Linked DNA regions of Tribolium castaneum. The protein of the gene in region 1 binds, or shares a complex with, the protein of each later gene. Links are inferred from orthologs where the notes say so. Each region holds a gene or a part of one and is shown on either strand. Other genes may lie near its edges.

Region 1 (6,025 bases):
GCTAAGGAATCAATAGTTAGTAGTTATAATCTAGCAGCCAAACAAACTTTTCTCTGTTTTGTCCGCTTGTTTCCCAGCCATCTCCGATAATTCCGAAAATGAATCGATTATCGTCGAAGTGTACACTTGCCTGGGGTCATTTCTGCGTTCCGTGGGCTATAATTCACAAGTCTGGTTAGAGGAGGAGTCCGGTCTGTAGTTACCGGTCCATAGCTCACATCCTCCTCCAGCGTGTGGTGTTTAGTTTGTCAGAGGGGCAATTAAACGCCTCGGAAACTCAGGTCAAGGGGTACAAAATCGTGGAAAACACCTGTTCAATATCCACCCACGAACGATAATTGTAGGGTCGTCGCAATCTCCTTATTAATCTCGATCGTGTGTGTGTGTTTTTTTTCCTATTCGGACAACCAAAGCTAATTGTGGGTAAATTTTAGGCCACGATTGAAAAACCGGCCAACATTCCGGTCGTCTTGGCCTTCCCCAGCATTCTCTACCAGACGAGAGTCGGAGGATACCAAGCCGAAATTGCCTTGCCTTTGGGGATGGTGGTTAATGCCGTTTTTAAAAACCAGCACTGGTTGTATGTGCAGACGCCGCATGCCGAGGAGGGGTATGTCAGCTATGCGGCCTGTTTACCACTAGGTAATAAACAGATTTTTTCCTAATTTTTTGACTCAAAAAAGAGCGAAATCGAGCAATTTTTAGTCAAAATCAAGTAACCTGTGTTTTTTTTTAAATCAAGTTGGCAAAGTTCAACTTATAGTGTGTCAAAGTCATAGACTGCTTAAATTAAAGGTTTCACTATAAAAACTGATATGATGAGTAAAATATGAGTATTTTTCTGAACATTTAATAGAATAATAATTTTTTTTTGTAAGTTAGGTAACTAATAATTTGGTAATTTGTGCAATAATGTTTCAATGAAAATGATTTGTTTGTAGCTTTAATTTTTGAAAATTTTGTTAAAATGGTAAAATCAAAAAAATTATATCAGGCATTATCCCACCCCCTGAGGACGACGCCACCGCCCCTTGCTGGGAGAACAGCACCGATGTGTTCCCTAAACCCTCCGGCAACATGACCGACACCGAAAAACTCAGCTCCAAGTCGGAATGTAGCGTCGAGACGCGCTGCCACAGCCGAAGACTGCGCCCCTCAAGCACCTGTGAAGAAAGAAGCGTCGATCGACTCTACCTCAGCGCTTTGGCATCCTCAAAACGTGGCAAAATCCAACGACAAACACTCCTAGTCATCAACAGTGACTACTTTGGCACCGAAAAAAATGCCCTTCAGGTGCAGAAAGGCGACGTTGTGGTACTCCAGGGTACCCATGTGCCGGGGTGGTTCTGGGTGCGCAACAAGGAGGGAGAGGAGGGGTTCATACCGGCGGTTATAGCCGGACACGGATTTTTGTAAATAAAAGTTGTACAAATTATTTATTAAAAATTTATTTCAAACAGTTTAAATTGTCTTTTAATACAGTCCTGCCAACTTAAATATGAAATTTGCGATTTCACACAATAATACGCCAATTTGAGCACTCAAACTTGGCCATACTGTAACTTAATTGTTCTTAAAAAAATAATAAGGGTTATAAACGATTTGGGGTCACATTCGAGCGATTTTTGACTCTTTAACGGTACCTTATCCTAACCTAAAGAGCATCAATGACAGCTGTCAAATTCAAATTCTGGACGAATTATTTATGGTTTATTATTTTACTAAAGACTTAATACAGAGATAGTTGCAAATTTTTGTAGATAAAGTTGCTACAAACGTCGATTTTGGGGCTCGACCCCGCAATGCACAAAGTCTGGAAGGGCTCATCCTGATGCACCGCACTGTACGTGGTCACAGGAGACGTCGGAATTTCCGTGATAATGTCCCCGTTAAAACTCATTTGGTAGAATAAATTAGAGCGCCCCCCTGCGAAAATCCTGTCTTGGTAGACCTCCGCCACATGAATCCCTTTATCGTCAATGGGGAACACTGTGGCGATATTCAGGGAGCGCAAGTGCCATAAAGACAGTCGGGGGCCGCCGCCGCACAACTAAAAAATCATTTAAGGGGGGCCACTTCGCCCAAAATTGCTGACATACCAGCCAATCATCGTTAATCCCAACGCCCCCTATCCAGGGCCCCAGCTCCACCCTGGCCACTTTATCCCTACTGTGGGGCTCGATTTTGCTCACTGGGGGGCCTCCTCTCACATCCCATAGCAGCACAAGCCCGTCTTCGCCCCCCGAAACCAGTTTATTGTTACTGAAATGCCATGTGACCAAAGTACAGGTTCCTGTAATCACTTACCAGAAATTGATGCAGTGAACGTAATTCTTGTGCCCTTTAAAACACCGCACTTCTTTTCGTGTCTCGATGTTGAAAACGTAAACATTATTATCGCCACAGGCGGCAAATAATAAATTATTTTCGGGCTCAAACACTAAACAATTAACGTCAGGTTTGTCGAAACTGTCTTTGGAGTTCGGGATTTCAATTGTCCACGAGCAGGAGGGTTTTTTGCTCGTTTTGACGTTCTTCCAGGAGTACCCCAAAATCTCGCCAACTGTCCCCACAACAAGGAACGCTTTCATGGTCAATAAACTGTTGATTTGGACGTCTTCTTTAATCGTGAATGCGTTTTTGGGCAGTTGGTCTTCTTTTGTGATCGAAGATCCTTGGTTTGTTAGCTTGGAAAGGCTGGAACTGGGGTTCAGGGGGCTGCTGGAAGTTACTTAATACTTACTGGAAGACCGAAATTGTGCCGTAAATGTCACCTACGACGAGATAGTTGCCACACGGGGTGAAAGTCTGGCTCAAAACAGTGTTATAGAACGATTTATTCAACTTGTTCACCATTTTGAGGTTAAGAAAAAATAACTTTTTGTGAATTAAACGCACGTTTAATAGGCAATATTACTGTACAAAGTCTGGTTTTATTACCAATTATACGATTACAAAGGGCGCAAACGTGTATTTAACATAAATACAGCCCCAAACATTAAACAATATAACCTCAATCGACTTAATACAGGCAACTTAACATGCAACGCGGTTAAGTTAGTTGCATACCTAACTTTATTTATGTTTTTTTTATGTCATAATTAAACATATTATACTATAAACTCTAAAACAAACGTAAAAAATATACCTTAAAACGTACACATATTTGTATAGATATAAAAAAAGAACGAGAAAACGCAGATTTAAGTGTTAAAAACGTTAAAAAAATCTCAGTTGAGCTAGTGGTGTTGTGATGAGCGTGCAACCAAGTAAGCAGCAGTTTGTTTAATCGTTTATTTTTCACTTTTTTACAAAACCAACGTCTAAAAATAGCCGCAAACATCTATAAGTTGTGTAATTTCACGCTTTACTTTGCTACCGCACATTTATAGCCAAACACTCGTTATAAAAAAAATATCAGCAAAAATAAACATACCGCTTGCGTATGGCATCCTTCGGAGTACATTTTTTAATCTGAACGGTTATTATTACAAGCGAGATCAATAAAATTACGTAAAGTAATAAACCCACCAAAAATAAAACTAATCTCCGTGTGCGTGCAATTGACGGTTTTTGCTTGAAGAGCACTAGACCCAAAAACAGGCCTGCGAGGCCCCCGATCATGTGGGCCCCCCACGATATCAAAGGCTCCTTTTTAAAATTGGCATGTAACACGTTGTAGATAATGTCGAAAATGACGATTATTCCGATACACGCAGATCTGTAGATTTTGTAATTCAAGGTTTCAAAGTTCTGAAAAAAATTACAAAAATGTTGTTTCTCGCTCGCTTTATACCTACTAGAAAAATATCGGAAATGTGCGAAATTAAAAGCGCATACACGCCCCCGGAGGCCCCAATGACCAAGTCGGGGTGAAAACAGGCCGCTCCCAAGACTCCGGTGATTCCCCCGGTCACGTACAAAACAAGAATCCGCACGCTTCCGTGTCGCGCTTCTAAAAAATAGGCGAAAAGCACTTGCATGAAAATATTGAGAGTCAGGTGGATCCAGTCTTCGTGCAAAAGCATGTAGGTGACGAATCGCCAAATTTCGGTCAGTTTGTGCGGTTCGAAGCGGAGCAGTTTTTGGGTTTTTTCATCCGAGGCAGCGTAGAAGATTATCTGGTGAATTACCATAAACATTAGCTAAAAATAATGCAAAAATCTGGTTTACCTCTAAAACACTGACTGACAAAATACCGAAAGGTGTGTTTCTTGCCCAAGCGGCCCATTGCGACGATTTCTTCACTTCTTGTGATAAGGGAAAGGGGATAAAAACTTGCTCGGTTTCGATTAAGGGGTCGATGGGGTCGGTTAATTTCACTTGGATTTTTTGCGACGGTGGCATAATTAAAATTTACCAAATTTGGGTCGAAAACTTAATTAATTAAAATTGTGTGTGATAATAAATTAGGTACTTACTGGAACATGTCCGAAAGTGGAGGGAAATAGGCCCGATTTTGTGTCGTACTATTTGAGCAATTATTATGCGGCATCTACTCCGCATACAGTTTGAATAAAACTGAACCAACTATAAATAGTTAAAGTTATAAAAACAAAAAACTTGCGTTTAAGAAGGTATTTCACTCTCGAGGAGAGTGAAAATAGTTAGACATGACTCCTCTGTAATTGATACACCTACTGACAATTTATTTAATGAAGTAATTGCACCGGTTTTAAGCGAAATGCCAGATAAAAGTGATAAAATCGATGAAACAAGATAAGAATGTTGTTAGTTTGGTTTAATTGTAAATATGCCCCAAAATATGTATGTATTTTTTTTATTTACATTTAAAGTTTAAACTTGCACGTATTTTCTACTCTTACATTTTTATGTTTACTTATCAAAGTAAGCGAAAAAATTCTTATTTTTGTATTTCCGTCAATGGTGACCTAAATATTAGGGTGGCCATGACGTTTTAAGAGCAATAAAATAAAAAAATAATAAAATAAAAAAGGCCAGTAGAATAAACACAAAACCATTTCTTTGATTTTTATTTTTAATAATTACATAAAACGTAAGTTGGTTGAATAGCCTCAAATTGCAGTGTATAAAAATTGTCTGATATTTCCTACAGTTTACCTACATTTTTTCACCTTATTATCCGCTCAAAACAATTAAAAAATTCGTTTAAATTTTTGGTAAAAAAATCCTACAAGACCAATATCACACACGTAATAATTAACCAAAATAATTAAAAACTAAATTAGATGTAATGAAATATCGGCAGAATATCTGAACGTGTTCCATGGCAAATAGAAATTTGTACTTGGCACCTGTCAAGGTGATTGCGGTTGTGAGAGTTAAATTAAATTGAATTAAATTAATACTACAATACGTGAACAAATACGTATTTTAGTCCAGTCACTAAGCCTTTAAATCAAAATACTTTAGCTACTTCCACTCAGCTTATCTCTGTTAATTTCAATAAAAAAAATAACAAACAAAAGAACATTTTTAGTAAAATTATGTAAATAAAAGTCTGTAAAACTAATTCTCGAGGTTGAAAAATATTCGTTGACTCCACGTTTTCGCAATTTTTTTCAAAAACTATTATTTTGATTTGAACCCTTTCTGCTGGACTTTCTTAGGTATAAAGTGAGTGAGATCTAGCATTTCAAAGGCCGACATTGCACCCCGGTCTCAGTGCACCTGCACTCCAAGCAAGGATTCGACAATTCGGAGATTATCCTTCCGACCCGATACATCCTTCCGTAAATATTACAGCCCGCCAGTTTCAAAATTCCGACGTTTGAAGTGCTGGAGTCGACCGTATTTGAGTCGAATTCGGTCGTCGAAAGTCGCTGTGTTGTTGTGGAAGTTGTTGTTGTACTCGTCGTTGTTGTAACTTCTTCCTCGGTTGAGAACAACAATTGCAAGACTTTGTCCAAACTGAACGGTTTTTCGGTGGTTGTTTTGCGCTTTAAAACGTCCACAATCAGCGATTGGAGGTTGGGGGCGGGCTCGGTTCGGATCACGTCCCGGAACGGGTCCGGAGTCACCGTTTCCGGCGAGTCCATGCGGT
Region 2 (4,286 bases), on another chromosome or scaffold:
ATTAATTCAAACAAAGTAGGATAATTCACAACAATTTCATCAGTGTCAATAGTGAGCATTGTGAAGCCAGCCCTTGTCAACAAATTGCCAATATCTCTAACTTCGGTAAATGGAGATATGTGAGGAGAAATGCCTCCACGACGCTCTAATTCAGCCAACTGGAGGGAAGATCTCAACTCATATAAAGTATCTCCTCCAAAAACCGCCGCAAGAAGAACACCATCCTCCTTAAGCGATTTTAAAATTTGCTTAAAAGCGTTCGGCAAATCGTTCACCCAATGCAAACTCAAACTTGATATAACCAGATCAAGGGAGTTTGGCTCAAACTGAATGTAATATATTTTAAACCAGTTACAGAGGATTATGGCTAGGAGACTAAACGAGATACAAACTTGCAGGATTTAAATCAAACCAACTCCCTAATAACTTGTAAAAAATGCAGGGTTAAACTTTACAATGGAACAACTGCCGCTCTCTGGCGACATTAACGGAACTATCAAGGAACTTATTACTTGTACTTCGTTTGATATCCTAACATTTAGAGATCCGTAGCTGAGACATTGAAATTAATAGGTTGGCAACATGAGTATGCTGACAAGGGCGTCATTGTCGCCAACTTATTAATTTTAAAGTCGGAGACTACTTTGATCAGGAAATTTCAATCACCTCAATGTGTTCCTCATCTAGTACTTGTTTCCTAACTTTAATACCCTCTTGTACTTGAACACTGTCTAAATTAAAGCGGTTCATATCACATAAGATTAGTTCTTCAATACATTTTGGTGAAATATGTTTGGACACGTAGCCCCTGCTGCAACCTAATTTAGGTTTAACCTTCCTCTTCCTGTATGAACTTAAACTCACCAATGTCTGCGGCCAGTTTAAACTTGCGTTTGATATCAAACACCCTGTCTGCTAGTCGATAGCCAATTTCATCTTTCAAATAATCATACAAATTGGCGTCTTGTGCGGAAGCCGCCCGTTCCCTTTGCAAACTCTTGGTGTTCCTATCAAACACATGCATAATGTGTTCGTCATTTTTCTGGTGAATTAAAGCACCGACCGAAAAGTGTCTCGCTTTTTTAAGATTCTTCAAAATGCGGAGTTTTGTCAAAGAGGATTTACGTGAACGGAAAACTATATTAACCAAAGACATGACACTGTTTAAATGAATTAAAAACAACTCATTTCAGCACAACAAATCATAATTGTCACAATGACAGTTTAGGATTTTGAGGTTAACCAAATGTCAAATGTATGTCAACTGTTGTGATTGAAGTTAGATTTAGCCCTCCGCCCCATTTTTCTGTTCCAAATTCTTACATGTATTTATTTTACTGTTGTGTGTTCGATGGATCTGAGCAGTTTTCAAGTGTTACAAGCCCCTCCGACTGTCTACTACATTCCAAATTTTGTAACACCTGAAGAGGAGGCCCACATTTTGAAAAATGTGTATTCAGTGCCCAAACCAAAGTGGACGTGTTTGTCCAAACGAAGACTGCAAGACTACGGGGGCGTGCCCCACGAGAAAGGCATGATTCCGGAAGCAATACCAAACTGGTTGACGAAATACATGGAAAAAGTCGCTCAATTGAACGTTTTTGAGGGAAACAAACCGAATCAAGTATTAATCAACGAATATCTTCCCGGCCAAGGCATAATGCCACACACTGATGGGCCACTGTTTTATCCCACTATTGCCACCATTTCGTGTGGCTCTCATACAGTATTAGAGTTTTTAGAAAATAACGAAAGTCGTGCTAAAGTTTGCCAATTACTTCTCGAAAGGTGTAGTCTAGTTGTAATTAAAGACGACATGTACGCTAAATACCTCCATTCCATTAGAGAAATTGAAACTGATGTTATTGATGAAGGCTGTGCAAATTTACTAAATTGTGAGAAACAATACGCCATTGGCGATAAAGTCAAAAGAGACACGAGAGTTTCTCTAACCATTAGAAATGTGACTAAGGTGCTTAAAATAAAACTATTCAAATAATTTTTGTACTTGCTTTTATTCGCCTAAAATAACATAGCTGATGACATGTAACCATGGTAACTGTCAGATTTTCTAACATAAATTAAGTAACCGTGGTAATTGTCACTTTTACCAACTTAAATTATTCAGACATGGGTTCAGGGCCTGTGCTGTCCGCCACATCCTCAAGTAGACTGTCGTTATGGCAATATTCGTTTGACTCCTCCAACATTGCTTGTAATTTGCTGGCGCTGGACACCAGCACGTGAAATTGTTTTCTCCTCATGTCCAGTTTCTGCTCCAGCAGCTCCTTTTCCTTGTGCAACTCTTTCAGTTCCGCTTGTAAGTTCGAAAGGCGTTCGTTTGTTTCCTTGCGTGCTGGCTGTTCGGCAATACTTTGTGCCAACAAATCGTACATCATGTGGTTTTGTTTCCATATTTTGGCTTGTACTAAGTTGTCTTTGTTTTGTTTGATTGAGTCTTTTACTTCGCTGATTTGCTGTTCAAATTTGTCGTAAATTTTTTTGTAGTTTTCAAGCTGACGCGATGTGGTTCTTGTGAGGAGTTGGGATCTCCTGACTGAGTATTCACAAAGGCTTAATTGTGCTAGTAGTTTGTCGTGGGTTGCTTGGTTCTCTAAGGGGGAGTCTTCGGTGGAATTTGCCCATTTTCGAAGAGTTTTTGCTATTACGTTGAGCCTGCGATCGTCGCCGGTTCCGTCACCGTCTATGAGTAACTTTCTTTTGATAATGTCCTCTAGAAGTTTTACTGTTTGGACACACTAGTAATTTTATAAGGGAAGTATTTACCATCCGACATGGTACCACGTTTGTCCTTTTGTTTCATTAAGGCGGATTTGTTTGCACTGTGGACGCCGAAAAATTTGTATTTTTTGAGGTTATGACACAAATTGTCAAATGTTGGCACTTGCCAACAGTTGCATCGAAAGTCTAAACCAAAAATTACTAGAAATAGCAATTAGAGGACATGTTGAGATAAGTGTTTTAATGGTTGCATATAACAAAAGCTTATAAAGCGTAAATCATTTAAAAATATGACTATAATTTATTTTATTAAATAATACGTATTTTGGTGATTTTGTCATCGGCTACGAATGTTTTCACTATTTTAAAACACGCTTTCCATAGCAACGTGTTTTAAATTTAAACAAAAACAAAAAATTTTGAATAATAATTTATGCAAAAACGCTTAAAGTTCTCAGGTGTCTAGGTGTCTCGCATACGCTCGTTGCATAACGACAGCCCTCGAACTTTAAGCTTCTAAAGTACCAACTTTAGTCCCGGAAATACAAAAAAGCAAATTTTTGTGTCGTTTTTTGCTCCTGTAAGCAATTTTTTGTGCATTTTTTTTGTCGCAACCTATTTGTTTTGAGTTGTTTTTGCTCCTGAAAGCTTTTTTTGTGCAATTTTTTGCTCCCGCAAGCTATTTTTTGGCCGTTTTTGTAAACACAATAATACCTCAAAAAATTCAACAAAAAATAAACTATGTATTAAAGATTTTTACATTTTAAGTGAATCTGCTCCAGTTTTTGCTACCACAAGTTATTTCTTGTGCTATTTTCTGTTTTCACAAAAAAGCAAAAAGTTTCTAATTTCAATTTTAATGATGTTTGTTATTTGGGTAATTTATTTATTATTATTTTGGATAGACATATTTCAAAATTTTTTATCGCTATTAGAGTATTTCATACGCGATGTGCATTTGACAAAAAACAGAAAGGTCTAGAAAGGTCATCACAATTTAAATTCAAAACAAAAAAATAAGATGAATTTTCGGTAAATCTTACAATAAACAGTCTAAATAGTTTTTACTTTTTAGACACGTAACTCGTAGTTTCATATTTAATTAAGCTTTAAAATATTGTTTTATTTATATTTTATCAATTATATCAAACTTGAAGCATTGCAAGATATTTAATATCTGGTTTCTATCGGTACAGGTACTAACGGAATGATCACCTGATGATTATATTTACTCTAGGTGATTTCACGTGTCTAATGAGAAAAAATTAATAAAGGGTAAAGTACACCAAAGTAAACATGACTGATAACGGTGTACTTTCCTTGTTTATTATTATTTTATTACTACTTGATTCATTATTTAAATCACATTTTTAATAAACGTGGATACTTTAGTTATCAATAAATTAAATCCCGTAATCATATTTTCAAAAATCCGTCGAAAATTATGATCTTAGCAGTTCAAAGTTCACTTTTTTCTTATTTTGTCGACGAATCTCCAATTACTCATCGGATTTAAACGATTCAGGAGAAGACCGCGTGTCCGG

Evidence for each region. Proteins that work in one complex are often made in the same cells at the same time.
Region 2: thoc6 (region 1) and thoc7 share a complex: the UniProt entries of both Drosophila melanogaster proteins name them as parts of the THO complex. The link is inferred for Tribolium castaneum from reciprocal best matches to the Drosophila melanogaster genes thoc6 and thoc7.

Annotation. Positions count from the first base shown.
Region 1 is NC_087395.1:25,799,076-25,805,100, reverse strand, and holds thoc6 (THO complex subunit 6), read right to left. Parts: upstream 3,038-6,025; 5' UTR 2,857-3,037; coding exon 2,744-2,856; intron 2,698-2,743; coding exon 2,308-2,697; intron 2,263-2,307; coding exon 2,100-2,262; intron 2,051-2,099; coding exon 1,730-2,050; 3' UTR 1,698-1,729; downstream 1-1,697. Other genes in the region: uncharacterized protein LOC103314375, read left to right, coding at 435-610, 995-1,416; protein rhomboid, read right to left, coding at 3,418-3,753, 3,801-4,121, 4,174-4,347; uncharacterized protein LOC662691, read right to left, coding at 5,610-6,025; DNA oxidative demethylase ALKBH2, read left to right, coding at 3,254-3,269. UniProt on the Drosophila melanogaster protein: The THO complex is required for cell proliferation and for proper export of heat-shock mRNAs under heat stress.
Region 2 is NC_087397.1:9,556,666-9,560,951, reverse strand, and holds thoc7 (THO complex subunit 7 homolog), read right to left. Parts: upstream 2,946-4,286; 5' UTR 2,825-2,945; coding exon 2,788-2,824; intron 2,735-2,787; coding exon 2,121-2,734; 3' UTR 2,000-2,120; downstream 1-1,999. Other genes in the region: arginine-hydroxylase NDUFAF5, mitochondrial, read right to left, coding at 1-326, 667-818, 865-1,156; alpha-ketoglutarate-dependent dioxygenase alkB homolog 6, read left to right, coding at 1,352-1,999. UniProt on the Drosophila melanogaster protein: The THO complex is required for cell proliferation and for proper export of heat-shock mRNAs under heat stress.